Linked DNA regions of Mus musculus. The protein of the gene in region 4 interacts with the protein of the main gene of each other region in a pairwise test. Links are inferred from orthologs where the notes say so. Each region holds a gene or a part of one and is shown on either strand. Other genes may lie near its edges.

Region 1 (4,085 bases), on a different chromosome or scaffold from region 4:
AAAGAATAGGCTTAATCTGTCATCTCTTAGCACAAAATGGGCATCATATCTGGAAGGCCTTCATTACAATTCTAAAATTGAAGGGCTTAAACCACAATGGATACTTTCTACTGAAAACAAATAAGTTGTAGGTGATGGGGAAATGGAGGAGGCATGAGATAAGCAATTCAAGTGATAATATCTGCCTAGAAAACTAAGACAGATGATGATGCATTCAAGGCCAGAATGGGCTACATAATGAGTTCCAGGACAACTTCTCAGAAAAGGAGTAAACTCTTTTACTGAATATACAAGTAGACGATTTAATCCTAACTCACTGAGAGGGCAGTAAGTTTAACCTGAATAACAAAACATCCTCATTTGAAGATAAACAGCACATACTTTCATTTTCCTCTATTTGTTTTAATGTTAAAATAACACAATACTTTTACTCAATAATTTTATTTACAGTTGTTCTGAGCAGCAGAAGGGAACATCTGCAGGACGGGTAATACTGTTCTAGGGATAACATGATGCAAAAGTGAGATAATGTTTATTATTAGTAATTGATATTAGCTCACTTCTGAGTTTTACTTTAAAAACATTTATACTCTTTTGAATAGGATTACTTAATTTTAAGAATTGGAAAGAAGTATGAAAATGTGTTTTTCATATACTCACCCAGGACAAATGTCATTCATCTCAGAACACTGAATGAGAGTTAGAAAACAACACAGAACAAAGGCCTCATCCCAGCCACATGAGCCTGCTCTGCCCTCTCCTGACATGTCTATTTAGGGCTGTGGGAGGGATTAGATGATATTTTAAATATTTTATTAAACATTGGTTATACTGACGCAACTAACTGGCCAAATATGACTAAGAAATGCCAGAGATGCAAATAGAAGTTGCAAGACCAAGATGCACACAGTGTGCTTTAAATCCACGTTGGCAAATACTGTCTGCTGGTGACAGTTAAACTATCTGCAGTACTTTTACATGAATAGACAGCCTTTCTGAATCCAAGAATGAGAACTTCACGAGGACAGGCACAGATGAGCTAGTGTAATTACACCATACATTCTTATTTGCTTTGCGTGTTATTCTGCATATATTGATTGCATCTGCACATACCCAGGCTCCCAGAGTCCTCAAACCCATCAATTCATTGCATGTCTTCGAAATATGGAGCTTACACAGATTTGAATTTTAAAAGAGTTCATTTTTGGCTTTGCACAAATCATTTTATTTTGCATCTAGCTTACAAACCATTCATCGCAGGTGATCTAGATGCACCTTTGAAAAGACCCAGCACGATTTACCAGGAGTCCTAAACCTGAGTCATATTAAAGTGTTGTTTAATTTATTTTGCTTCGCAGAATACTGCCCACTTGTCCTGGCAGAGACCAGTTAATTCTTGTATCCCAGACTACTACTCAATTCTTGTATCTCAAATGTCATCATGCCTTACCGTGTATGTGATGGTTTCCTCGGTGTACTGTGACTTGACCAGCGCCAGAGTCAGCATAGTTAGGAAAAGTGTTTGCAACATCGTGATTCTCTACGGGAAATGGGACAAAGAGATGTTTAGTATCAACTGCCTAGAAAATCAAAACTTTATCAGTGAAGAAACTGACAAGAAAAGGAGAATGGAGAGCTCCAAATACCCTCCTTCCAGTCTGCTTTCTCACCAGCCACCCAAATAAGCAAGACAGGAGAAACTACAGTAGAAATGCATTACTTCACTGCATCCATCCTGTACCAAGGTTGTTCAGCGTGTGTTTATACCACACCTACTCATAAAGCTCCAGAAAACGGTAGTCAAAAGGGGATATAGAATATGATCGATTCCATCCCTCTTCCCCCTTGGAGGTGGAAACGGGGGCGCAGCATCTGTCTATTTTCTGAAACTGTAGAGTACCCACCCACGGCTCAGCTGTACCTGAAGTTCCACCCAGCTCAGCGAAAGATACCTGCAAACCAGTATCAGTTATATGCCCGCAGACTTTATTGTCTTAAAAAAAAAAAGTCTAAAATACCCAAACAAAACTCGAAGAGCTATCGATCTCACAGTTCCCGATAGAATACCCCACAGAGCTTCTAACTCACTGCAGGGTGACTTCTCTAGTTCCCACTCTTAAAGCTCCATTTCCATACACACTCTTGGCGCACAATCAGCAGCTCAAAGTCACTGATCCCTTTTCCCCTCGTTCTCAGGTCTCAAAATGTGCTATGCACAGGGTCTAGGCTGCCTAAGGTAGGAGGACTTCAGACAGCTTTGCAGCACAGGGAACCAGTTTGGGGGAGGGGGTTCCTAGCCTGATGCCTGCAGGGAAGTGAGCTCAGCTTTCTTAGATGTAAGGCGTCTGTCAGCGGGAGTCCTTGAGCGCTTTAGCTTCCAACCAACCGCTGGGCAATCCAGGTGCCTTTCAAATCCCATACCTCAGTCACGGAACCTAGAGACCAGAGTCACCAGCAAAACTCTCTGGGTTGATAGCGCGCTTACTCTACCTATCCCAACAAATGTCACCCAAGTACTGGCACAGGCTGACAGATTGTGATCCCAGACCAGCAAGTCCACCTCCATCTTCTCTGTACAGTTTCACAGTCGGGGACAGTTCTTGGGTCGCCCTACCATACTTCCCGGTATAGCTCTCGCTGGTATAGCGCAGATCTTGCGACCTCGGCTTTGGGCTCCTACCTGCGGGGGGGCCGCGCAACTTTCCTGCCCGGGCAGCGAAGGAGTGCGTAGGGGAGGGCAGCCTGGTAGGTCTGAACTGGCGAGGTCTGGCTGCAGCAGCAGCCACAGGAGGAGGAAAAAGGGAGGAGAAGTAGGGCGAAGGGGGGCGGAGGAGAGAGAGGGAGGCGCAAGCGCCCTGCCCAGGCTTCCAACCACGCGGGAAGGCGCGCCTTTTGGCGTTGGGGTCTAGGGGCCCAGTTATCCTCTGCATTAGGCCCCTTGGTACCCTGATTCACAGGAATTTGAGACACAACTAATATCGAAATATCACTTCCATGGAGCTTTTAGACTTTGCAGAAATGGCTTAAATTCCTTTTAGCTCAACAAGTGATTCCTGGGAGAATAAATTAAAGCTATTAACAGAACTGGTCCTTTATTTTTCATTTCAGATTTTTATTTTTGGAGGGGGTGTGTTTTGTCAGCTTCCTCAAATGGTGAAAGGTGAGAATGAACGTGTTCATTTCTGGGCCTACTAGGTGCTAGGTGTTAGGAGTGAGCCAAATGGAACTCATGTTAACAAAATATGTGCCATCCTGAGGTGTGTGTCTTGCCTCCACCCCCAACCCCGTGTGTGTGTGTGTGTGTGTGTGTGTGTGTGTCCGTGTGTGTGAACTCCTCTCCTTCCTTCCTTATCTACAGTTTCTCATTTCTCCTGATTACTGCCCATCCAAATTAAATTAGGCATTTTTCTTGCGTCTTTCATAATAATGGTGGAATTTCAGGAATCTGAAGAGAGAGTCCCGCCCCACCCCCCTTTATCAAGTCATACCACACAAATTGCAGCTATTCCTGATAGCTTCTCCCACCCCACAGTTAGGCAGTTACTTCCCTTTGGTTTCAGATATGCCTTTTAAGAACGAAGTCACCAAATGCAATTTGAGAAGTAACAGAACCTGCTAACTTGGAGGAGCTAAGGACTGCCCTGTCCAGGGGCATATTGCAGAGGCTGTGGAAGTGGCAAGTTGGTAGAGACTGCTGGAGAGCAGCTTTCAGGTGATTACGGCTCTTCTGTCTTCTGGGTGGGTGGGTTAAGTAGATATTGACATCCAATGGTGATCCTGACCAGTACTGGTGACAGGCTATCCAGTACTGCACAGGATCAGATCTGCAGAACTTACTAAGTATGGAAGGCGTTGATGACTGTAGCAAAGACATTTACTACTAAGTTTCCCTGACCCTACTTGTCACCAATGTCCCCAAACCGCTTTTCTTTGAAAAAACAGATTCTCTGTTACCAGACAGTAAAAATATCTCTCTATGTGTCTGCTTATTTAAACTCATTTCAGCTCGTTCTTTGGAGCAATGAGGTAAAAAGCTCCCAATCTTCCATCTGCAGTGCAGTGATCTTTCTGCACACCCACTTGCT
Region 2 (3,500 bases), on a different chromosome or scaffold from region 4:
GTTGGTCTTGCTGCTGCCACTGGTACAGTTGCTGCTGCTGCTGCTGCTGTCAATGAAACTATCCTTAGCACTTGCTTCCGTTTTATCTTTAATCAAATCTCGTGACTTTTCTCCTTCTCTATTTTTGCTTAGTAGTTGATCCATAGATTCAGATGTAGAGCTTGGCTGTAACTAAATATAAGAAATAATTTCCCATTAAGTATAAGCCAAGTAGTATGTGATGGCAATGAAAATACTTTGAATAGGTTTTCTGTTTTCATTATTTTCAGAATATGGCCTTTTTGGTGGACTTGTCTGTTTGTTAAGACAGAACAGGGTCTCTGTGTGTAACCTGAGTGTAGCTGTACTGGAACTCTCTATGTAGACCAGGCTGGTCCTGAACTCACTGTGATCTGCCTTTCTCCGCCTCCTGAATGCTGGAAGGAACTAAAGGCCACCATGCCTGGCTCAGAATATGCATTTTTCAGGCACAAATAACAGAATGATACACAACACAATTTTAGGAACCAGTATCCAAGACTAGTTATTAGCCAGGCTGAACATGGTGGCACAAACCTTTATGTTCAGCACTCATGAAACAGAGGCACGTCTGAGAGTTAGAGACCACCTTAGTTTTTACATAGTGAGTTCCCAGAGAGCAAGCAGGGCTATGTAGAGAGACCATGTCTCAACCTCCCGCCCCTGTCGCCCAAGGCATAACAAAAAAGAATTAACTATTAGACTGATGGTGGCTCATGCCTGCAATTTCAGAATTGGAGAGGCAGAGGCAGTGGCTGACAGTGAACAAGATGCAACAGTTCCGACTGCCTAGACACAGGAAGGTGGGAAGCTACCATGTGGCGCAGAAAGAAAAAGCAGCCTCCATGAAGGAATAGCTCCTGAAGAGATCAACATCTAATCTAAACAAAAACTAATTTTAAAATCCCAACAGCATGAGAAAGGGGAAAGGGAGAGAACAGGAGATGGAATGTGCTCAGAGTGTATCATCGACATTTATATGAATGTGCTTATGAAACCTAGGACAATATACAATGACCATACGACAACTTCCTAAACTTAAAAATTAGGGCTGCAGTGATGGCTCAGTAGACATTTGCACGTTCTGTTTTTGCAGAGGACCCAGGTTCAGTTCCCAGCACTTGCATGGTCACAATCTCTAAAATTTTAGTTTCAAGGGATCTGGTGTCCTCTTTGGGCTCTGGGTACAGGCATAAATGTAGTGCACTTACATACATACTGTAGTGGCTATTCCTGGTTGTCAACTTGACTATATTTGGAATGAACTACAATCCAGAATTGGAAGGCTCACCAGTGACCCTTCTCTGGAGGCTGGGAGATAGAAGTTTCTGACCTGGATCTTAGTTGTTATGGAGATCTTGAGGCATAGTGGCTATGGATTCCAGAAGATTAAGACAGGTAGTTCAAGGTCATCTGGGATTAAAGGTGTGGTGGGACACACCTTTTATCTGGGCTACACCTTCTGCTAGAGACCATATAAGGACATTGGAAGAAGGGAGTCTCGCTCTTGCTCCTTCACCTGCTTGCCATGTGGGACTGAGCAACTGCTAGATCCTTAGACTACCATTCACAGCTACTACTGAACCATTGTTGGGAATTGGGCTGCAGACTGTAAGTCATCAATAAATTCCTTTACTATATAGAGACTATCCATAAGTACTGTGACTCTAGAGAACCCTGACTAATACACATACATTCAGGCAAAACACCGGACACATGAAATAAAAATGAATCTACATAAAATGCAAAGAGCTGAAGAGATTGCTCAAGCCTGAAGATGTAAGCTCACGGGCACACACCCACATCATACAAAAACATGCTAGGAATAAAATTTTAAAAAAGCATTTTCCACTTCTTTCTTTCTTTCTCTCTCTCTTTCCTTCCTTCCTTCCTTCCTTCCTTCCTTCCTTCCTTCCTTCCTTCCTTCCTTCCTTCCTTCCTTCCTTGTTTTTTTGAGACAGGGTTTTCTGTATAGCCCTGGCTGTCCTGGAACTTAGTTTGTAGACAGGCTGACCTCGAACTCAGAAATCCACCTGCCTCTGTCTGGGATCAAAGGCATGCACCACCATGCCCAGCTCATTTCTATTCTTATAATGGCAAAATTACCTATAGATCCAAACTGTTTGTGTTATTTGTTTAATCCACACAATGGCCTAAATTTTGATGTAGGTACTTTTATGGCAAACCCATGGAGAAAACAGTGCAATTAAAATTCTGTAGGGAGGGGCTGATGAGATGGCTCAGCGGTTAAGAGTGCTGACTGCTCTTCTAAAGGTCCTGAGTTCAAATCCCAGCAACCACATGGTGGATCACGACCATCCTTAACGAAATCTGATGTTGTCTTCTGGAGTGTCTGAAGACAGCTACAGTGTACTTACATTTGATAAATAAACAAATATTTTTTAAAAATTCTGTAGGGAAGGGATATGTGTGTTTGGTGGGACTGGACTCAACTAGTCCACAGTAAACACACAGAGCTAAACCCCACCCAAACCCATGCCTTTTTGTAACTCAGAGAAAAGCAACTGTCAGGACCAGTCACCACACCTCGGCAATGTGAAGTCATGCCCAGTAACAAGCGTGGACCACAGACACTAGCAAGGGCAGGGCCCACAGTTATATGCTGCCACCTGCAACCCAAGTAGGTTCTACCAGTCCCTACTGTGCTTGGGACACTAGGCAATATACTGTGAAAGAAAAATCTCTATCTGCATAATCTCAGTTACTAAGCATTAACAGATCAGACAGAGAAATCCTCTGTATCAAATTTCCAATACTCAGCTATACTGCAGAGTGCAGACTGCTCTCAAGAAAAGGGCAGTTCAAAACCAAACCTCCATGTCACGAGGATGGCTGAACACTGCAGTACCCCAGAGAGCCAAGGCTTGCCCTTTCCTATCCATGGGGCCCTGGGCAGATGATTTAACCTCACTGCCTCAGTTTCCTGATGCACACACTGCAGGCAGTGACAGAACCTGCTTCAGAGCATCACTGTGACAGGAGGGGCTAGGACACAAGCAGAGAAAAGTGTCTGAAACACAGGAAGCACTCAGTGTCAACCCTGCCCTGGAACCCCTGCTTTGTTTCCTAGCATTTACTCACTGCCCAGGAGCTCAACAAAATAAGTATGATCCACTCCTAGAGACCGACTCTTGATGCCAGTGCTACCTGAACTTTAATTTAAAGAAGAAATGTAATGCCCAATTGTTAATTAATTAAACAAAAATTAAAATAATTAAATTCAGTTAAATTTATAAAAAAAAAGAATTTGATAAGATCTCAATAAGTAACAATGCTGTACCTGAAGATATCAGAAGAGTGACGACAACCTAAGCCCAAATCAAGGCTGGAAAAAATAATAAGTATCAGGACAGAGAAAGAATTCATTAGTAAGGTAGGGCCAAACAAAGAGAGTTGCAAACTAGTATCAGTGGTTGGAATATTAAGTAAACAATAAATAAAGAGCAGCCTGGGGGCTAGGG
Region 3 (4,297 bases), on a different chromosome or scaffold from region 4:
TGTATCTGCCGAGCCCCAAGGAGATCAGAGGACTACAACAGACCCCTGGAATGGAGTTAAAGAAGAATGTGAACTGATATCTAGGTTCTGGGAACTGAACCTGGGTCCTCTGTAAGAACAGCTCTGCCATCAATCCAGCCCAGCTGTTCAGTTTTGAGAAATTAAAACACAATACCTGTGGCGCAAGGAGATTCTGCTTCTGAGATGGGTCAGGCACCAGCCATGTGGCTATAGGATCTGGGTGCAGGCTGTAAAGCTATTTCAAAAAAAAAAAAAAAAGTATGCATTTGCTATTATTAAAAAAAGAAACACAGAGCTCTGTAAGCCATAACCTTAACATGAACAACGAGTGCTTATCTTTAGGAGTATATTCTTAAAGGCTTTTTAAATATTTTCTTCTGCTCCTACATCGCTGAAATTCTAGAAAACTGACTTTTGAGCTTTTCGGCTACATCCTAAATCCCATTTGATGACTTATACTGTTACTTCTTTTTAAAATGCATCCTTGTATTTAAAAATATTTCTCTTGTGACATTTTAAAGTACTAGTTATGGTCTCTCTTTCCTGTATGGAAATGTTAATTCTCCCATCTTGTTATTGTAGTTGAGCACCCATGTTCTCCAGACTGTTGGAAGACAGGCAGCCCCACCACCAGCTCACACATTCTGTGCACAAGTGCTTCCCTGACTGTCTTCGCTGAGCAATGAAACTGCAATGACGCTCTACACTTGGACCTGAACTCTGTGTGCCTTTTTGTCCAAGCACAGGGTCTGTGTTACACCAGCATATTCTTACCTATGTGGAGGCACAGGTATGCCAATGCTGCTGGTCTTATGTTGAAACATGTAAAGGTACTGGTTTGGTTTTCATTCTCATTTAGGAAAATGTGATCTAAAGTCAGCTAATAGATCCAAACAGCACAAATGGACTTTTCTTTTCAAGATGGACTTGGATGGTATTGTAAATATCATAGTCATATGATCAGCTCCAGCTGACATCTGAGTGACCTTCTAAAGTCAGCCTGCAGGATTTTCCAAGCATGCTGACTCAGGAAAGAACCAGTCACTCAAGGTCCTGTGACCTGCTTTATGTAAGTAGCAATTGTCTAGAACATGCTTTTATTATATTAAAAATCTAATTATAAGAGAATCTGTTTATTAAAAACAATGGCCGATTTGGTACTGTCTCTGTCTAAAATACATAGTAAGTACTTTGAAATACTCAGGTCTAATTATATAGATGAATAAAATGGCAACAAAAAATTGCTGTTCCTAGCAACCTTTGCGACGCTGGCGAACATTCTTCAGTTAAATGATCAACCCGGAGGTGCTTACCTTCTCCTCTGAGCTGCCAGAATCAGTCACTTTCACCTTTAAAACAGAAAAGTGACAAGGAAATGCGTGTGAGTGTGCTAAAGCTAAAATTCATTTGTTTTCAAGAATTCTCTCTAAGATTCAGCTGTACTCACCGGGAGGGAGGAGGCAATGCCAAACAGGCAAAAGCAAATCACTGCCAATCTCATGGTCGTAGTTAGTCCTGCAACATATTTTATGAGGCACAGTTGATGTCTTGTCAGGTTCAAACACACTCTTGGCACCACTAGATCACCACCAAGTCACCAATAATTTATGGAATCTTTCTACATCTCAGAGAAAATTTCAGTGAGTCAATATTTGTGTGCCTTTTCTACCTCTCCACCTCTCATCCTTAGCAAGGAAAAGGGCAATTTCACAACTCTATTCATCCAAACTTTACGTCTGGAGTCTCAGAGCTTATGCCCCCACTATCTGATGTCTCTAGAGCTCCACACCAAGATTTGTTTCACAGTAATCGAGTAATTAAAGCAACGAACTACCATGAGAGTACTTTCTGCAAGGAAGAAAAAGAGAAAATAGAATGATAAAAGAAAATTGCTTTTTCCATTTGCATTTCAAATGTGATTTTAACTTACATTATACAAAGCTGAAAGAAACAAAGATATCTTTGAATTTGAGTAAGATGTTCTATTTGGACTAATAATAATAATAATAACAACAACAATAATAATAATAATAAAAATAAAACACTGAGAGCAGGCAACAGCTTTTCTGTGCATGTTGATGAGTCTGTGTTATCACACAGGGACCTTAGTGAAAACTGTAAAAGCCAAGTGCAGAAGCGAGAAATTAAGGAAGGTTCTCTTTTGAAGTGAGACAGTTTTCTAAAAATAACTGTATCTGGTTTATATTAATATAGAGGATCCTCCTTTACTGGTCTCCACAGTCATCCAGCCACTTTAAAATGATGCAGACATTTGTTCCAAAGATACATAGAACTTTACAATGTGTGTGTGACAGGAGAGAGAGGGAGAGAGGGAGAGAGGGAGAGAGAGAGAGAGGAGGGAGAGAGAGAGGAAGAGAGAGGAGGGAGAGAGAGAGGAGGGAGAGAGGGAGAGAGAGGAAGAGAGAGAGGGAGAGAAAGAGAGAAAGAGAGAGAGAGATTACTAGCAGATCTCTCTCTCTCCTTTAGAGGACCAACTAGATTTATTTTAACTTCTACATCCAACTGGCTTTGAAAATACCGGGAAACCTGCAATGTACCTGACCAGCTTATTCAAAAAGACCAGAACAGCACGAGTCTGACTAACAAATACGACTGTTGAAAGAATGTTCTCTGGACTCACCCTCAGAATTCAGCCAGGAGAACTGCAGCCTCATGGGCCACTGCAGGCTTACCTTGGCTGGTTTCCTCCGAGAATGCCTGCCGCAGAAGACTGCAAACCCAAGCAAGGATGCTTCTTCAGTGTGAGCTGCTGGTGGCTCAGACCTCCCAGAATTTAAATGCTGGTCCAGACAGTCTCCACCAATCAGGAGGTGGAGTGATGTGTCATGAGGTTTTTGCCACTACCCGGCCCACCTGCTCCTACACTTCCTCCTCTGGTTTTGTGGTTAAAAAAAAAAAAAAGGAAGAAAAGGAAACACACACAAAGCATTACTGATGAACGATGTCATTAACTACCCTTTTCATTTATAGACTGCATTTAGAATCCCGGAAGAGCATCAGGGATCCATAAGGAAAGGAAGAGTAGATCACCCTCACAGAGACTTTGTTTATAGTTACTGAATTAGTAGAAAAACATCAATGGGGATGAAAGGTATGGATTCTCCTATCTAAGTTACAGATAAAGGCCACATGGATACACAATTTGATTCTCTCAGACTTACTTAAATCTAGAAAACTGCTGTCTCGGCAGAACTTTCAGACCCTCCCTTTTGCCTTTGTATTCGGTAGCTTAGGTTGGCCGGGCCACAGTGGCTCTGTTTTGTACTCCGGAAGATCACCATGAATTTGAGGCTAGCCTCGGCTCCATACTGTGTTCCAGGTCAGTTGGGGCAACAGAAAGTGAGACCCTCTCACAAAAGAAACAAAACCTCACAACAAAACGAAACAAAGTAACAACTCAGTTTTGACACTTGAGCTATGCAGCCGCTTGCTCTTTGTGCAAACCACACAGTGACCCTGAATTCCTCTCCTGCCTCCACTGACCTTTAGAGACGTGAACCTCGTGAACCTTGTTGCTCTGTTGGAGCAGCTGGGAGTGATGGTTCTGATGCTATCTAAACTATAATGGCCATATAGAGCAGAAGAGGTGGTTACTCCAGATAGAGCCCGCCTAAGCAAGCAGTTTGTGAGACTGGAATGCTTGCTGGGTGGGGAAGCTGCAGGAGCCAGACTGCCTTTCAGTCCTTCTGTAAGCAGTGCCAGGTGTGACCTTGGGCAAGTCACTTAGTCTATCTACAGGACAATGGATTAGTGTAAGTGCAGTTGATAGCACTTCACATTTTGCAATGCTCCTTCCCCCACATGTTAAAGAACGTGTATATTTTAACTATTACAGAAATCTTCAGCAGAGGCAAGGAGCTGAAATTTGTAATGCCTTTGAATTGATCTTTAAGCTGTACACGTTAAAGGGTTCTCTGAATATTTTTTTAAAGACACAGCTTATATTTCTGAATTATCTTTTTTGAGTTTTATTTCCTGGAATATATAAGGTTGGCTACTTAAAAAGATTTTAAAATTTGTATTAACAAAACGTTACTGAATAGTTAAGAGGTATTCAAATGAGATAAAATTATAGGTGAAGCAGACTTCTTTAAATATTTAATACTGCCCTGCAGTTACTTCCTTTCTTTTCCCGAAATGGAGAACACAGGCTTATTACCTTACATCTCCAATGTAAGAGGCATGCAGAAATTGAGATTAAAGTTAAGTCAAACCTTTGTTGTATTAGATATTAGTGCTACTTGCCAAACCCTGC
Region 4 (4,121 bases):
ATGCCAACATCAAAATCAGACAGTCTCACTAGCCAACTATATCAACAGGCCGATATTTATTATGTCCATAAATAAATAAATAAATAAATAAATAAATAAAAGAGTGTGGCTAGAGAAATGGCTCGGTGATTAAGAGCTCATACTGGTCTTGCAGAGGACTCCAGTTCAATTTCCAACATCCACGTTGGGCAGCAGCTCACAACTACTGGTAAACACAGCTTTAGGAGACTCAGTGTCTCTGGCTTCTATGAGCGTTTGTACCCAGAGGCAGAGACACATACCAATACATAATTAAAAATAAGTGGGACGTGGTGTGTATGCCTCCAGCATTTGAGAGGCAGAAGCAGGTGGATCTCTTGTGAGTTTGAGGCCTGCCTGCTTTACGTAGTGAGTTCTAAAATAGTCAGACCAATGTACAGAGATTAAATTAATTTAAAAAAAAATCCAAATCACAACAACAGTAAATAACTAAAACCTATACGAAAGAAGCCGAATAGCTCTCCCTTTCTCCCTCTCTGCTATCCAGTATCTAGAGATACCAGTGATCCTTTTCTAAACTAAAACAATAGCAGGTGTTCAAGGCCATAATCTCAAAGCTGAATGCAGATAGACAGGCACTGGCACAGCCACTAATCTCAAGGATACAGAGCTAGGTGGATCTGACTACCAGGACAGCCATGACTGCAAAGTGAAACCCTGACTTAAAACACAAAATGAAGCAAGCAGGGCGTGGTGGCGCACGCCTTTAATCCCAGCACTCCGGAGGCAGAGGCAGGCGGATTTCTGAGTTCGAGGTTGTTACAACCATCTGTAACAAAGTAGGGGCTATAGTTTGGGGCTATAGTTTCCTAACTTCCACATGAAGAAAAGGCCACAGGTTGCAGAGTCTGACCTTCTCAGGCACCAAGTGCACACAAGGTGCACATGTGTATTTCCAGAGAAAGCACTCACATATAAAATAAAAACAAATACAATCTTCTAAAAGAAACCAAAAATACACACAACCCAAAACAACCATTACCACCATGGGGTTGGGAGGCAGGGTCTGGAAAGATAACTAACAAAGGTCAGAAAGGAACACACAATATACGGTTCAGTAGTAAGTGCTCTGTGCTAGGTCCAAGGTTCAGTACCCATCAGAACCACATACATGCAATAAATAAATAAATAAAAATAAGGGAAGGTGGAAAAAAAGAACAAACAAACCAAAAATAGCAATAGCATACAACTGAAATTCCAAGCTTGGAAAGCAGAGACAGGAGGATCATGAGTACAAGACCATCAGTTCTAAGACATTTCACTATGTAAGAAAAAAAGGACCAAGCCAAGTCAGATGTGGTCCTCTGTTATAGTGCATATAATCCTAGCACATAGACGACCACATAGACGACGAAGGCACAGTGGTCAGAGGCCAAAGTTAGCCTGGGCTATAGGAGATCCTGTGCCCACCTCCCGGAAAGACATTAAGTAATTCTTGGTAGGGCCAAATTAACTATCACATGTACCTACAGACAAAAGTCTATGTGGCTTTTTAAATATCTGCTTTAAAAACCACAAAAATGACCTCCTCATGGTGGTTGTCTCAAAGAATTATGCAGTGGCCACAGTGCACTAAGGTCAGGAGGCTCAAACCATGCCTCAGCTATTGACAAGTCTACTTCACAGTGGATGAAAGCAGGTTTCCTTAATCTTATAAAAATAGTACCAAGCTGTGAACACTCTGTTTAAAAAAAAAAAAAAAAAACCCACACCAAACTTGTCTGAGGTCCCTGTGACACACCATTCTTGTCCAAGGTGCCCCCTGTGTTGTGTCTGGTCCCAAAGGCCAGAGTCATGTCTGTCTCTTTGGGCTGGGGTCTGCACAGAACAGGTATAGATCCCTCCTCTCTACTTTCCTCTTCACTGAGTTCTGTCAAAGTGAAGACAGACTCCAAATCGGCCTCACTCAACAGTAACCACATCCCCTCACTCAATAGGTACATCAGATGTCCTATCCAGTAAGGGACAAAAGAGTCAATGACAAGAAAATCAGGCGCATCCTTCTACAAAGTACTGGTGTCTCACCTGGGCCCCCACAATAAAAGTCCGAGTCTGAGAGTCCAGGGTCTTCACCAGTACCTCCAGGCTGTCAGGCTCCTCCATAGCGGTACTGGCACTATCACTCGGCTCCATGGCCGACAGCTCTCTAAAGAAGAACGAGGGGGGGGGGTTCGCTGTCGGTCGCACTGTATTTTATACACCCGGAAGCCTCTCTGGACCCAATCTCCGCCCCAATCCCTTCAAAGTTTCTCATACACAAGCAGATATATTCATCCTCCTTCTCATCCCCCCTTTTTGATTCGGGGGCACAGGAACAGAAACACAAAGGGTAGGAGATCGACGGCATAGGGAGATGAAGGACGAGAGGTGGGAGGGGCTCCACCATGCCAATCACAATAGGGAGAGCCAGTTGGGCTAGGAATCAGGGAAGCAAGCACGAGACCGACCAGAGGCCAGTGTCATCACCGGTCGCGACCGAGCAAGCGCCCGAGAGATCGGGAAATCCTAGGACAACGCGAGGGGTGGGGGGAGGGTCGCGCTAGACTCGGCAGAGAAAAGTGGCTTCGCGCACGCGCAGCACCACAATCGAACCCGCCTAAATCACCACCGACCCAAGACCGCGGACACTCACGGGAGGCTGGACGGGCTCGCTGACCGCCCCCGCCTTCCGCCTCCGCCTCTCCTCGGTATTCCAGCAACACGACTTAACCAACACGCGACCAAACACATACAAACACACATACACAGCCCACCACCCTGTGGCTCCGCCCCCGACGTCCCCACGGTACCGTCACTTCCGGTCTCCCCCAACCTGGCACCAAGGGCCACTTCCGTTTCCCCGATCGTATTTGGGGGGATCTCGAGGCGGTACTTCCGGCTCCCCCAGTCTCCCCCGATTTACTTTCGTGGGGCACGATGAGAAAGTCCACAGCCCCGAACAGTGAGTTTCTGGGGGGCGAGACGGGCCCGGGCCGGCCGAGATGGGAGGGAGCCGACCACCCGGAGGAGCCGCCGCCGCCGCCGTCGTCGCCCGGGGGACCGCACTGCGCCTGCGTGAGCGGCGCCACGCGTGCGCACACTCTAAGTACTTCCCCGCCCCCCTCCGGCTATGTGCGTTTCTTCCCTGCGCGCGCCAGAGTGCAACCGGACCGGGGTGGCTACTGGAAACGCCTAAAGAAAAATGACTGAGTGAGATGCTGTAATTTCCTCGAGAAAAATTGTGAGACTTGTGTGGAGTGCACCTCGTTAATCAACGTCCCATCTTGATGGTCAGAGACGTTTACAGGCACAATTCTAACTACCTAAAACTCTGCAAGACCTCTGGTCCTCCCATCATTTCTGTTCTTCCGGAAGCCACTCTTTTTCGTGGACGGCTGGTGGCGTTCCGCGGGCTGTGTTTGCTTGTGCCCGACTCTAGTTCCTGGCGGGATTAGGCCGGTTGGGCTCTTTGCAGACTTTGAGCATCCTGTTTATTGAGATCTCCGAGGGAGTGCCATGTTTAAGGATAAAAAAAAATTCTATTGCATTTTTTGGTTTTGAGACATTTCTGCTGCTTTTTAAGAGCTTTGTAGAAAAAAAGAAAGAAAAGAGAACGGGTGCCTTGCGGATCAGATTAAAGGACAAGACTTTAAGAAGGGACCAAGGGAATGGAGAGATGGCTCAAGAGATGAAGAGCACTGTCTGCTCTTCCAGAGGTCCTGAGTTCAATTCCCAGCAACTACATGGTGGCTCACAACCATCCGTAATGAGATCTGACACCCTCTTCTGGTGTGTCTGAAGACAGCGACAGTGTACTCACATACATAAAATAAATAAATCTTTAAAAAAGGAAAAGAAAAGCCGGGCGTGGTGGTGCACACCTTTAATCCCAGCACTTGGGAGGCAGAGGCAGGCGGATTTCTGAGTTCGAGGCCAGCCTGGTCTACAAAGTGAGTTCAAGGACAGCCAGGGCTACACAGAGAAACCCTGTCTCAAAAACAAACAAATAAAATAAAATAAATAAAATAAAATAAAATAAAATAGAAAAGAAAAGAAGGAAGAAAAAGAAAGGGGATTGAAAGGCCCACCGCCAAGGGAGTTGA
Region 5 (3,500 bases), on a different chromosome or scaffold from region 4:
CCTGAGCCCTTTTTAAAATTAAGTTTTAAACTTAACAGAAAGTGTGGATTTCATTGTGGGAGTTTCCTACATAAATATTTTATACTTAATTTTTATTGGTCCCCTATATACATTTTTTCTTCTTGCACATTGAAGGCAAATTTTTACATGCTTAGAAATTAATTTTTTTCTTATGCTCTTTGGATCATACAAACATTACGCAAAGTTCTTTCAGGCAGTAAAATTGACTTGAAGGTACATTTATAGAGTAGTGTTTATTGATATTCTTTTCAACAGTTTGAACTCAAGACATCACAAAGTTAGACACGTCAAGGCAGACAGCATTCTCCTACAAATGGATTTCTACACATACGAAAGCATGGGAAAAAACAAACAAACAGTGTGAAAACACAGCTGTGGGAACAGCTCTGGATTTTTCTTCAGGGCCATGATCCTGTTGTTTTGGCGTGCCAGACGTCTCTGTACAGTGTGTTGTGCAGGAGCCGGAGAGAGGCAACTGTTTTTAAGACAGTAATTTAGTGCATTTGTTACTAGTGATGGTCTTTCATGGGTATATTCTAGTTTATAGTTTAGTGACATAGTACTGCACAGAGCTTACAGAATAAGCCCTGGAATTAAATTACCCAGAAAACCAACTTGAGCAGTCAGTCTCCCTTCTTTCCTGCTACCTTCTTGACCTTCACAGTCCCATGCTTAAATGCGGTTTTTAAAGCACTCAATCGGATTTGACAACTTGAAAGGATAAGTTGGGCAGCATGCAGTAGGCAGTACCCCAAAGAATCCAGTCTGCTCTAACAGCCTCCCAGATGTGTGCACATGTCCAGACTCCTTCTCAGGAGGCTAGGGCAAGAACATGAGTTTGAGGCCAGCCTAGGCTACATTTGGAAGTCTAGGCAAGCCTGAGTCATATAGCAAGGCCTTAGCTCAAAAATCCCCAAGAAACAAACAAAAATAACAACTTTAAACAAACCTTAATACCACACACAATGAAAATCACACTCTCTGCGAAGCTTTAGAAACTCAGGGTCAGAGTGGAAAACAGCTGTGAACGTGAATGTCCTTTAACTGACTTAGAGCATGACATTTTCTTCACTGGCATTCATCCCCAGGTTCTGTCAGATAGTGAAAAACGAAAACAGTACGATACTTACGGTGAAGAAGGCTTGAAAGATGGCCATCAGAGCTCTCATGGGGACATTTTTTCACAGTAAGTAATTTGCCCATTTGCGGAGTATTATATCCTGGGACGGGACCCCTGGGCACTAACTGAATTGCTCTTGGAGACAGAGGGCAGAGTTGCCTCTCTGTCATCCTGTGGACAGGAGAGGGGTGGCTATGACAGGCACCATCAGAAAAGGAGTTCATAGGGTCTCTTCATCTCCTGTCACTCTTGGCTCACTGGGAATTCGGGGTAGCTGCAATGCTAATAAGAACTTCTCCTCACTTTGACCCAACCCCTCCTTGTTAGACATTTGACTCTCCATGCATCATAATGTCTTAACTGGGAGATCTACTCCAGAGTTCAGCTCTGTAGTTATAAACAGGAAAATGTGTGAGTCTGCACTTGTATGCCATGAACGTCCATTTCTTCAGATTCTCAAAAGGCTTCTAGAGCCTCCCCTCCAGTAAGAGTGCAGTTATAAACAATAGCTCTGTCTGTTGAGCTGTCAGGGAAGAGCCTCTCCCCTGCCCATCAAAATGATGCTGGAGATGTCAGAAAGAGGAGCGCTCTGTCCTGCTCCGCCCTCTCCTCAGCAGCAGGCTCCGGTACAACTGAAAAACACGTCTTTATCCATCTCACAGTCATTCTTCTGTTTCCTTCAAACATTTGACCTTGTGCAGGCCAGGACTTACTGTTCCCTAAGGACGGGGACTGCCCCAAGGTTTTGCTTTCCAACTTTAAACAGGTGCCCAAGGTTTTTGTAGAGCGGTAGCTTCTTCATCAAGGTTAGTGATCTCTAAAGAGCAGACTTAGTGAGCACACGCAGTCCATTCAAGATGTTCAGGATTGACCTTCAGGAATTTCCTAAGTTAGCCTGGGCATAGTGTACAAACCTTTACTCCTAGGCAGAGGCAGGTAGATCTCTGAGGTTGGGTCCAGAGTGGTCATTCGAGCAAGTTCCAGGTTAGCTAGGGATACATAGAGGAGCCCTGTCTTGACAAACAAACAAAAAAAAGAAATTCCTTACATTAACCAAAAAGTCTGAATTGCACCAGATTAAATATATTATACCCCCTTTCATTATGTCTATAATATCTGGATTTTCCTCAGTATTTGAATGGATTATTCCATTGATTGAGTCCAACATTGAATCCTTTGATATACTGTGCATTAGTGTCTGGCTGTTATGTATGGGACATATTGTATTAAACAGTAATTTGGGGGTGGGGCAGCAACCTGTAAATTAAATTATGTAAATTAAAATTTGTATTGTATTTGGACCCAGTATATTAAGAATATCTGTTTTGCATAGTGTGCTGGCAGGAACAATATTTTATCAAGGGGAAGAAAATCAACAGTTGTGAGACTTAGGATCCGAGTCCTTTCTCCTGATGAGTTTGCCTGTATCCACAGCTTCTTTGGAGACTTTGGCTTCATGTTTGGAGGAACCCCTCGTCAGCAGGACAGGAATATTCCAAGAGGAAGTGATATCATCGTAGATCTAGAAGTCACTCTGGAAGAAGTGTACGCAGGAAATTTTGTGGAAGTGAGTTCACACAGTACACCTACCCACACTGACCCACAGAACTCGTACTTTTGACCACAAAGCAGAGAGTTTCAAGTGCTTTGTGTCTTTTAGAGTATGAGAGGGAGTGGCTGACACATACATAGTTGAAATCATCAGAATCCTTACTTAGTTCATAGTAGTCACGAACTGAGCTCACTACCTAGCCTGAGAACTCAGTGAAACTCCCAAAGAGTCCTACACGTGAACATCGCTGTATGTACTCTAGTTACACGTGAGCGGGGATGTCTCCATCATGGATACGTGTGAAAGTAGAATTGCTGGGTTGGGTCCACACATTTATGCTTCACACAAAAGTGCCATAGTATGTTTGAAATTGTCCAAGTCAATAGTCAGCATGCCACGGCAGTTCATGTTTGCTCTGCCCCTGTCCATACGGAATAGTCCCTGTTCCCTCCTAGTTATTACGTGGGTATGGGATTACTGTGGTCTTGGTTTGTGCTTCTTAATTTCCAACTAGGCAAAACATCTCTTTCATTTGCCCTGTTTGTTTCTTCTTGTGACATGCCGTTTCACCATGTGCCCCGCTTTGTTGATTTCTGAGACTGCTTCATTTTTGCTCTTAAGTTTTTGTGAGCCGTAATGCAGATATAGTTATCCATTTATAATATAACTTATCTTTACACAGTATTTAAGATTTATTTTAATTAGTACAAGTGTTCATTTTAATGTGGAAAAAGTCTGATCTTTAATTGTTAATTTTAAAAGTCTGCTCTAACATGAGAAAGTTCTTCTGGGTTCTCCAGTAAAATT
Region 6 (4,204 bases), about 6.0 Mb from region 4:
GTGATGGCTCAGACCTGTAGTCTTAACTCTAAGCAAGGAAGTTAAGGCAGGAAGATTGCCTTGAATATGAGGGCCACCCTGGGCTACATAGCGAGGCCTCGTCTCAAAAGACCCCAAACAGAAGGAAATAAAACTGACTAGAGACATGGAGGAAGGTGGGAACGGAGAATGTCTTACTGCTATGTCTGTCAGGAACATCCGTAGATGTTTCTAGAATTGTCCTTTATCAATGTCATTTTAGTGGACTGTCTGGATCTTGGGAGGGGGAGTATTAGACATTTCCCTCATTTTGGACCCAGAGAAAGAAATCTGCAAGCAGAGTACTCTGGGCAGCTTGCCAGAGGTCAGCAGGTAGCCATTAGTGTGGTCCCAGTCAGGTCTTGATGCTCTCACTTGCAGGATGTATTATGGTGTGAGAAATGTTCACATGCTGGCTTCTGAAGAGGGGAGAGGGGAGGTAAGGAGCCTGGCGGCTGTTTTTCTTGGTAGTCCGTGGTCTGAGAACTGGACTCAATCTCCCCGATTTCTGAGGCGGTTGACAGCATCCTTTCCTTCTGTGGAACTGCTTTCCTCGTCTGTGAGACAGGGAGGAAATGATCGCGTTCTGGACCCGATGTCCGAGGGGCTTCTGGGAGGAGGGGGAAAAAAATCTCCAGACATAGTGGGACTTCTTGGGATTTTAAACTATTTTTTATTATTTATGGGCTTGTTTTGTTTTTGAGAGGGTCTCAATGGATAGCCCAGGCTGGTCTTGAACCTGTAACGCCCCTCGTGCCTCAATCTCCCAAGTATAGGATTCCAGGCTTTTGCTATCATACTCAAATGATCAATTTATTTATATTTGAAACAGTGTCACATATTTCAAGTTGGTCTCCATCGGAATAGGTAGCTGTCAAAACGACCTTGAATGCCTATTTCCCCCTCCTCACCCCCCACTGGGCGCTGTTATTACAGACGTGACCCCGCATGCCCAGTTTATGGGGCCCTGGAGCTCCAACCCAGGGCTTCACTTCCAGCAAGTTAGGCAAACACTGTACCAACAGACCCACCTCCCGAAACCCAGGATTTTATTTACTAATATCAGTGATCTGGAAAAGAGTTAGTCCTTCCCACAGTTGGTCAGGGACAGACCCATAAACACTCACTCAGCTCTAACTGTACTGTTGTTCATAGATGTATGTGGCTCTGCTGGTGCGCTGCGTGACAAGAGAATAGCCCAGGTGTGGGGGAGGGGAGGGCGCGCCCTCTTAACGCGCGCCGGTTCTAGCTGTCTGGCGCGGGCTTAGATTCCCAGAGGGGAGGGCGGGCCAGCGAGTCCCCGGGATCGGTGAAGGAGTGGGTTGGTCCTGCCTCTGAGGGGGCGGGGCCTGGGCCGACGCTATAAGGAGGCAGCTCGACGCCAACTGCAGCAGCCGAGAGGTGTGAGCCGCCGCGGTGTCAGAGTCTAGGGGAATTGGAGTCAGGCGCAGATCCACAGCGATATCCAGACATTCAGAGGTGAGAGCTTCGTGGCAGGGAACAATAGTTCTTCCCCGTAGCAATGCGCTGAGCCCAGTGGGTGTCCCCAGAAGTGTGTGTGTGTGTGTGTGTGTGTGTGTGTGGTGATGAGTGGATCACCTGTGTGTGTATATGTGTATTTGTGCGTGCCCGCCAGAGTCACAGGTGTGTCCGCGGCAGGTGGATGACGGGTGTGGGTCTGAGCGTCCGTGGTGGCTGAAGGCTTCGTTTGTTGGAGTGTGACGAGGGTCAGGCTATGTCGCGGACTCGGCATACAGAGTCTGAACTCCAGGACCACGGATGGCAGCCACTCTTCCAGTCCTTGGAGACCGGGTCCGAGCGATGGCTGGCGGGGATCGGCTACCGGGAGCTCGCTTCTGGTTGCCAATGTTTCTAGGGATTCCAGGTGCGGCTCGCCCAAAGCGTGAGAATGAAGCTCACGGTGCCCCGAGATGGGTCCTGGGTGGCGGTTGTGACAAGCTTCGGCGAGTCTATCTAGAGCTTAGCGCAGAGCGGTTCTCCGATCCCATGGGTGCCGCCGGATCCCCGGTCCTTGTGAACCAAGTGCCCTGTTTCGCGGTAGCCACCACCCCACTGGGCTCTGAGGTCAGCGCGAGCTGTGTCCTCCGCCCTCGGGATCGTGCCTGGGCACGTCCTAGAGGACAGGCGAGGAGGTGACTCATTGTGACAAGGAGACCCCGGGCACTGGATTGAGACCAGAATCGCGCCACAACTGGGGATGGGTCAGTGGCAGCCCAGAAGCCCCTTTCCCTGCCCGGGTACAGCCTCGTTCCTGCCCCGTCCCCTCCCCCGCGCGGCACAGTGACCTATTTGGCGGGCACAGTATGTTCCCAGGGAACCCGGGACACGGGGAGGTCCAGGACGCGGTGTCCGGTCCCCGCTCGGCGGCGCGCCCTCGGGGACAGGGAGTCTGGGCGGGTCCTGTCCACCCTGCCAGCCCGGGAAGCGCAAAGGGTCCCACCCACCGCGCCCACCACGACCCGGACCAGTGACCGTGGGGCGCGAGAGGAGCCCGCACTGTAGAGCGGCCGGTATCCTCGCGGAGTGAGGCTTACGGGTGCCGTACATCAGACGCCCCGGGGCTGGGGCCCTCGACCCAGTCCACACCCAGTGTAGGAAGGTGACCAGGCTGAGTGCGCCCACTAGGGCACATCCATTCCACTCGGAACCTCCGGGGACAAGGGCTACACTTGCACCCTGGTCGTGCGGGAAATACTTTGGGCTTGGGTTTGGCATTTGGGGGCGCGCTGGCAGCTTCCTCTGTCCCCTACGTCGCGTTTCAGAGAGGACACTCAGGCGGTTTTTTGTTGTCCTCGCCCTCATCTATTTTTATTTTCCAGGGATCTGACTCATCGCGTGCTTTGGGCGTGGAGATCAAGGTGGAGGGGGCCAGAGCTAAGAGCACTTTCTTTGCTCTCGAGTGTCCGTGCGTGCGTGTGTGCGTGCGTGCGTATGTGTGTGTGTGTGTGTGTCTGTGTACGTGCGTGTGTGTGTGTGTGTGTATGCGTGCGCGCGCGCGCGCTCAGTCTGGTTTCCCAACATAGGCGGGAATTTAGGAAGCCTGGGCTCATCGTGACGTGTTTTGTGGCCCGGGGTCCCCCTCCTTTCCTCTCCTCTCTCCACCCCAGGGTGACGCGCAGCTCCGGTGCCCAAGCAGTTTTGGCGGGCGGGCAGCGCCGGGCAGGAAACTGACTCACCACTCCTTGCTCGGCCTACGCGCCGCCTACCGAGCGCCATTTCCTGAGTGCACAGCGCCCCCTACCGGCATCAGTGAGGACTGCAAGGCCGGCTAGGCGCGGGTGGCACCACGGGCTTCTGCCACCCCCACCGCGGCTTAAAGGGAATTAAAATATGCCTGATGGCCAGATACAAGTGATTTTAGCAGGGTGTGCTAGCGGACTATTAGGGAGGCGTGGCCCTTGAGAGACAAGGTGGAGATCGTGCCCCTCTTGGGTTCCTGGTCTTATCTTCAGCTATGAAAAACTGGGGACTATCCAGCCTTAGCCGAGTCCATTGGTGTCTTCCCTTCCTTCCTCTGGCCCCTGTGAGCTACCGTCTGGGGAAGGGCACCAAACTTGTTTTTCGGCTCAGTTTGTCTGGGGAAATGAGCCAATCTATATTTCTATATCTATATAGATCTCTCTCTCTGTCTCTGTGTGTGTGTGAAAGAGAGACAGAGACAGAGAGACAAGCTTACAAAATGGCCCCAGCTACCAGTACTATATAGACAGGCTGGCCCAGTGGCCTGGAACTCATAAGGATCACGTGCCTCTGGTGGAGTGCTGGGATTAAAGACTCTCCCCATAACATGGAGCTCAGTCTATATTTAATAAAAAAGCTTTTCCAGCTGATTTTAATGGAGTCCTCTGGTCATGCCCCTCAAGGTGAGAAGACGAGAGAATGATCAATACTAGACCAAAAGGGTCTGAATTCAAACCCCGCTTGTGAGCCCTGTGCCTTTGGACACACATTCTGAACCTGGATTAGCTCTGCCGTAAAAGAATGTGATATTGCCATCTATTAACGATAGCTTTTGGTGGCTTACAACTGCAATCCCAGCACACTAGAGGCAGAGGCAGGAGGATGACTGAGTTGTACTAAAGGATGTGAATAGGCCCCAAGCTCTACCTGTAGGCAGAGGCCATCTGAGGTCCTTTAGGCCTCTGAGGTCTGCACCTTGAGAATC
Region 7 (3,956 bases), on a different chromosome or scaffold from region 4:
TGAATTACATGTTAACTGTTCTGTAGCCTCTTGTAAAGTAGTGCAGTAGTTTTCTGAGGGAAGTTGAGAAACAGCTACTTAAGAAAGGTTTCCTAATTAATGTCTTTCCACAAGAATAAATAAAATGCAATGTTAAATTATATTTTGAATCAGTTCCATGATATTAAAAACCAGTTCATGGAAATACACAAACAGTTCAGAGAAAAAAAAACACAGACATATAGGGAATTTTATTTCTGTATAAGCCTCAATTTCTTAATAAAGTATTTTTGCTACATATTTAAGGAAAAATAATTATAAGTGAATAAAATGCACACATTATAATTATCTCTTTGGTTATAATTTGGTACTGTCTGTGTTTATTTTCACTTCTTGAAGTTCTGTGAGCTGAGCTGCTCCCTGATATCCACAAACTAAAGTGATTGAATCAACAGAGAGTTACAGGCAAGATGCTCACCTGCTGGGGTTCCCCGCATCCTTAAAGTCTTCAGGATCTGCTGTTGTGCTTTTCCTTTTGCACCTAGTTGGACCATTCCAAGAAGCATAGTGGTTCCAAGAGGGGAAAATATAATGTTGTTCTTGTGGGATAAAGAAATAGCTTTATAAAGATCCACTGCAAAGTCAGCAATTTTTTGGTCAGTCGCTCTTGAAGTTTGACTTCCAGAAAAAAATAGTAGAAAACTCCACAATATGGTCTTATTCATCTTGCGTTCTGTATACTAATTTAAAACATATCAGTTTTTAAAACAGACTTTAACATAGTAAGCTTAGCAGTATAGCTCTCATCTACTTGACTATTATGCATATATATATATATATATATGCATACACACACACATACACACACACACATACACACACAGCAAGTATTCTATATGAAATACTACCACAGGGAAACTCTATTTAGTGGCATCTTGCTGAATAAGTATTATATAATAAGAGAAGCCCACATGCTACTGGTACTAAGATCCTTCAAAATCTAGCAGAATCTATACCTTAATGTTCCTAAAAGCAATGGTAAAGCTCTACTCTCAGCTCATGGTCAGACAAGAACTTGACTAACTTGTTTTATGATTCTTTCTTTTCTTTTGACTTGTTTATTGGCACAGCTATGACTCTGACTCAAGGGAAACTTGTGTTCTGGTTACTTCAGAAGGTTTATAGGCCACAAGCAGTCGAACAGTCAAGTCAGTGCAGTCTAAGTCAGTGGGCAGCCTGGTTACCCCAAAATAGCCCTTCTATACTCTCTGAATCTAAGAGCAAAATGTCCCAACTCTCATTATATGATCTTCTATAGGAAGATAAATGAAGAGAGAAAGGAAAATGATAGTCAAATATACATGGTAAAATAATAACAAAGAATGAAATTGTCAAATGCTTTGATGAAACAATTAACAACTTTTGGGAAAACAGCAATAGAAATCCATAACCATTTACCAGGGATGCCCAGTTATCAATTGGTCACTAAGGCAATTACAAGAAAGTCACCTATCCGATTAGACCTTCAGTGAAAACAATTTTGAATGTTTCATAGAATAGTAATGTTTAGTTCTCATAAATTTCAGTAATACTAATTCTACTGTATAATAATAACCATCAATTGGCTGCTAGGAAGTGACCTTTCAATTGAAACAAAACTTGAAGCCTTTAGAATAGTGATGTTAGCCTTGAAGACCTGAAATATTGCTTTGCTATAGTTATATGGTAAGAGTTACTAAGAAGCTTTAGTAAAAGATGAAGAATAATCAAATAGCCTTGAAAAGTAACCTATAAGATATTATTTTGATATTTCAGATTTTTAATTTAAGTAGAAAAACTCTATTTGAATAAGCAGATTATTTTTAAAAAGGAAATAAATCTCAAAATATAATACAAAATACCTAATAGAAAATAATACGTTGATAAGACATGAATAAGGATGTAAATTGTTGTGTAGATGCTTTTTAAGGATTAAATCAATATACTAGGTTATAAAAGTACAAAAGTAAAGAGCATTTTGTGAGAGAAGGTTTACACATAAATGTTTGTCTATATATCATACTCTGATACATATACATACATTAACATATATATAATAGATAGATGATAGATAGATGATAGATAGATAGATAGATAGATAGATAGATAGATAGATAGATAGATTGGTTTTGAACATTTTAAGAATATATATATATATACACTTTTATGAATTTATATGCATATATATTCAATTTCTCAAAATAATCCTGACCCATGTATAGCTATGTAAGTTATTACAATGTTACCAGTGTTTTTCAAACAAGTTGGAATTTATTATATATATTTATGTAATTGGCCAACAATGGGATGACAAATATTTTGGGAATTACATAGCTCTCCCTGAAAATAGAGTCTTGGTCTTACAGTAATACTGATACTGTTTCTTCTCATAATTATAATGTACATCTGTAAGCAGTGATTTCTACCATAAATTGTCCAGGCACTTAATAAGTTATAGCATCAAGCAAATAACTGGTTTTAAGCTTTACTTACTCATTTCGTTTTGAATAATATCTTACCAGAAAGTGAAAAGAACTGAGAGATAGACAACACGATGTATAGTTCTGTAAGAATTCGACCTTTCTTCAATAAGCAATTTTAAGAGACTGAAAGTAATGTTTTATTTTGAAACAAGAAACATCAAATTATTCTTACACAAAACTTAACCAATGTGCCAGTTCTGTGTTTCAATAGACACAATAAATGTTACTAAATATCTATTTTTACTTTTATGGAACTTACCCAAAATTAACTTCTGATTATTAACTTGAATGCTGTGATTGAAATGTGCTTACTGGAAAACCCTCTTATATGAAGCAGCTTATTGGTGAAGGCCAACTATATTTATCTTAAACGCTGAATGATTAATTATTCCACAACCATAGCAGGTGTGCACTGTGCTGCCATGTGATCAAGTTAATGATAAATGATGAAATGTAAGTGAAAAGAAAAACAGTAAGACAAATTGTTAAGAATTATTATTATTATTATTTCATCTATTGTTTCATTTCCTTTAAAAGTATAAATGACTGGAAATATGGCAAATGTAACTAATGTGCTGGATTCTAATCGGACTTGAAGTCAGATTAAAATTCAACCCATCATAAATGCTTCAAAGTGCTTAGGAGGAGAAGAACAACTGAATCTAAGACACTTTACAACTGCCACAATTCATTAGCTTGTACTTTGCAAACATCAGAGACATTTCCTGAGTCCCATTCTAATAATTGGAAAAAGAGTAGATGTTGAATGTATATATATATATATATATATGTGTGTGTGTGTGTGTGTGTGTGTGTGTGTGTGTGTGTGTGTATCTATGTATATATTACAAGAGAACCAGAGTTAGATTATTGATTTACCAAATTATATGTGTAAAAGAAAACACTATTAATCCCAGGTAACATGGAAGTTACACTGAGGTAACTTACATGCAATTTTAACATTCCACATAACTTTCTCTACAAACCACCCATCAATAAAAAGTAGATGCATAATTCAATGGGTTTTATCTCATTGTAGTAGTTCAATTCAATCATCTCACTGGCAGGAAGGTATTAAACACATATATCATCCATATGGCCTCTGAGAAATGGAAAATTTAGTGTAGTTTCATTGAAGCAAACGTGACTATTGATCACCAAATTTAATAGTATTTCTGTTAACCTCATGAGAAGGAAATAAAATTATTCATATGCACCTTAAAATGAGTTCCTTAAAGGAATACATCCTCTAAAATATTTATCTCAGACTTGAACCTTATTAATATTTTCTGTGGCATGGCCCAGTGACAGACCTAAATTATTAGGACAAGGAGAAGTGAACATCTCCTAACTAGCATAGTTTTACTTGTTTTAGCATTATAGATTAAATCTAGATTGCATTTCACACTAACAAATACCTCCCCCACTGACCTATGTCTTAGTCCATCAACCAGG

Evidence for each region.
Region 1: the proteins of Bag6 (region 4) and Efemp1 interact in binary tests that used the Homo sapiens proteins (3 or more experiments, as listed by UniProt). The two-hybrid records come from large-scale screens. The link is inferred for Mus musculus from reciprocal best matches to the Homo sapiens genes BAG6 and EFEMP1.
Region 2: the proteins of Bag6 (region 4) and Atxn2 interact in binary tests that used the Homo sapiens proteins (3 or more experiments, as listed by UniProt). The link is inferred for Mus musculus from reciprocal best matches to the Homo sapiens genes BAG6 and ATXN2.
Region 3: the proteins of Bag6 (region 4) and Spp1 interact in binary tests that used the Homo sapiens proteins (3 or more experiments, as listed by UniProt). The link is inferred for Mus musculus from reciprocal best matches to the Homo sapiens genes BAG6 and SPP1.
Region 5: the proteins of Bag6 (region 4) and Dnajb11 interact in a two-hybrid assay, tested with the Homo sapiens proteins (2 studies listed by BioGRID and IntAct). The link is inferred for Mus musculus from reciprocal best matches to the Homo sapiens genes BAG6 and DNAJB11.
Region 6: the proteins of Bag6 (region 4) and Cdkn1a interact in a two-hybrid assay, tested with the Homo sapiens proteins (2 studies listed by BioGRID and IntAct). The link is inferred for Mus musculus from reciprocal best matches to the Homo sapiens genes BAG6 and CDKN1A.
Region 7: the proteins of Bag6 (region 4) and Serpini2 interact in a two-hybrid assay, tested with the Homo sapiens proteins (2 studies listed by BioGRID and IntAct). The two-hybrid records come from large-scale screens. The link is inferred for Mus musculus from reciprocal best matches to the Homo sapiens genes BAG6 and SERPINI2.

The regions. Positions count from the first base shown.
Region 1 is NC_000077.6:28,851,920-28,856,004, reverse strand, and holds the start of Efemp1 (EGF-containing fibulin-like extracellular matrix protein 1 precursor), read right to left. Parts: upstream 2,801-4,085; 5' UTR 2,681-2,800; intron 2,192-2,680; exon of another isoform or gene 2,089-2,191; intron 1,541-2,088; 5' UTR 1,532-1,540; coding exon 1,451-1,531; intron 1-1,450. UniProt on the Homo sapiens protein: Binds EGFR, the EGF receptor, inducing EGFR autophosphorylation and the activation of downstream signaling pathways. May play a role in cell adhesion and migration. May function as a negative regulator of chondrocyte differentiation.
Region 2 is NC_000071.6:121,791,609-121,795,108, reverse strand, and holds part of Atxn2 (ataxin-2), read right to left. Parts: intron 172-3,500; coding exon 1-171. UniProt on the Homo sapiens protein: Involved in EGFR trafficking, acting as negative regulator of endocytic EGFR internalization at the plasma membrane.
Region 3 is NC_000071.6:104,433,614-104,437,910, reverse strand, and holds the start of Spp1 (osteopontin isoform 4 precursor), read right to left. Parts: upstream 2,801-4,297; 5' UTR 2,715-2,800; exon of another isoform or gene 2,697-2,714; coding exon of another isoform or gene 2,663-2,696; intron 1,720-2,662; exon of another isoform or gene 1,537-1,719; coding exon of another isoform or gene 1,523-1,536; coding exon 1,469-1,522; intron 1,371-1,468; coding exon 1,335-1,370; intron 1,011-1,334; coding exon of another isoform or gene 1,008-1,010; intron 257-1,007; coding exon 176-256; intron 1-175. UniProt on the Homo sapiens protein: Major non-collagenous bone protein that binds tightly to hydroxyapatite. Appears to form an integral part of the mineralized matrix. Probably important to cell-matrix interaction.
Region 4 is NC_000083.6:35,134,179-35,138,299, reverse strand, and holds the start of Bag6 (large proline-rich protein BAG6), read right to left. Parts: upstream 2,801-4,121; 5' UTR 2,782-2,800; coding exon of another isoform or gene 2,672-2,781; intron 2,653-2,671; exon of another isoform or gene 2,296-2,652; intron 2,186-2,295; coding exon of another isoform or gene 2,173-2,185; coding exon 2,065-2,172; intron 1-2,064. UniProt on the Homo sapiens protein: ATP-independent molecular chaperone preventing the aggregation of misfolded and hydrophobic patches-containing proteins.
Region 5 is NC_000082.6:22,864,345-22,867,844, forward strand, and holds part of Dnajb11 (dnaJ homolog subfamily B member 11 precursor), read left to right. Parts: intron 1-1,109; coding exon 1,110-1,207; intron 1,208-2,575; coding exon 2,576-2,708; intron 2,709-3,500. UniProt on the Homo sapiens protein: As a co-chaperone for HSPA5 it is required for proper folding, trafficking or degradation of proteins.
Region 6 is NC_000083.6:29,092,365-29,096,568, forward strand, and holds the start of Cdkn1a (cyclin-dependent kinase inhibitor 1), read left to right. Parts: upstream 1-1,404; 5' UTR 1,405-1,497; intron 1,498-4,204. UniProt on the Homo sapiens protein: Plays an important role in controlling cell cycle progression and DNA damage-induced G2 arrest. Involved in p53/TP53 mediated inhibition of cellular proliferation in response to DNA damage.
Region 7 is NC_000069.6:75,267,279-75,271,234, forward strand, and holds the start of Serpini2 (serpin I2 precursor), read right to left. Parts: upstream 2,801-3,956; 5' UTR 2,761-2,800; intron 720-2,760; 5' UTR 705-719; coding exon 458-704; intron 1-457.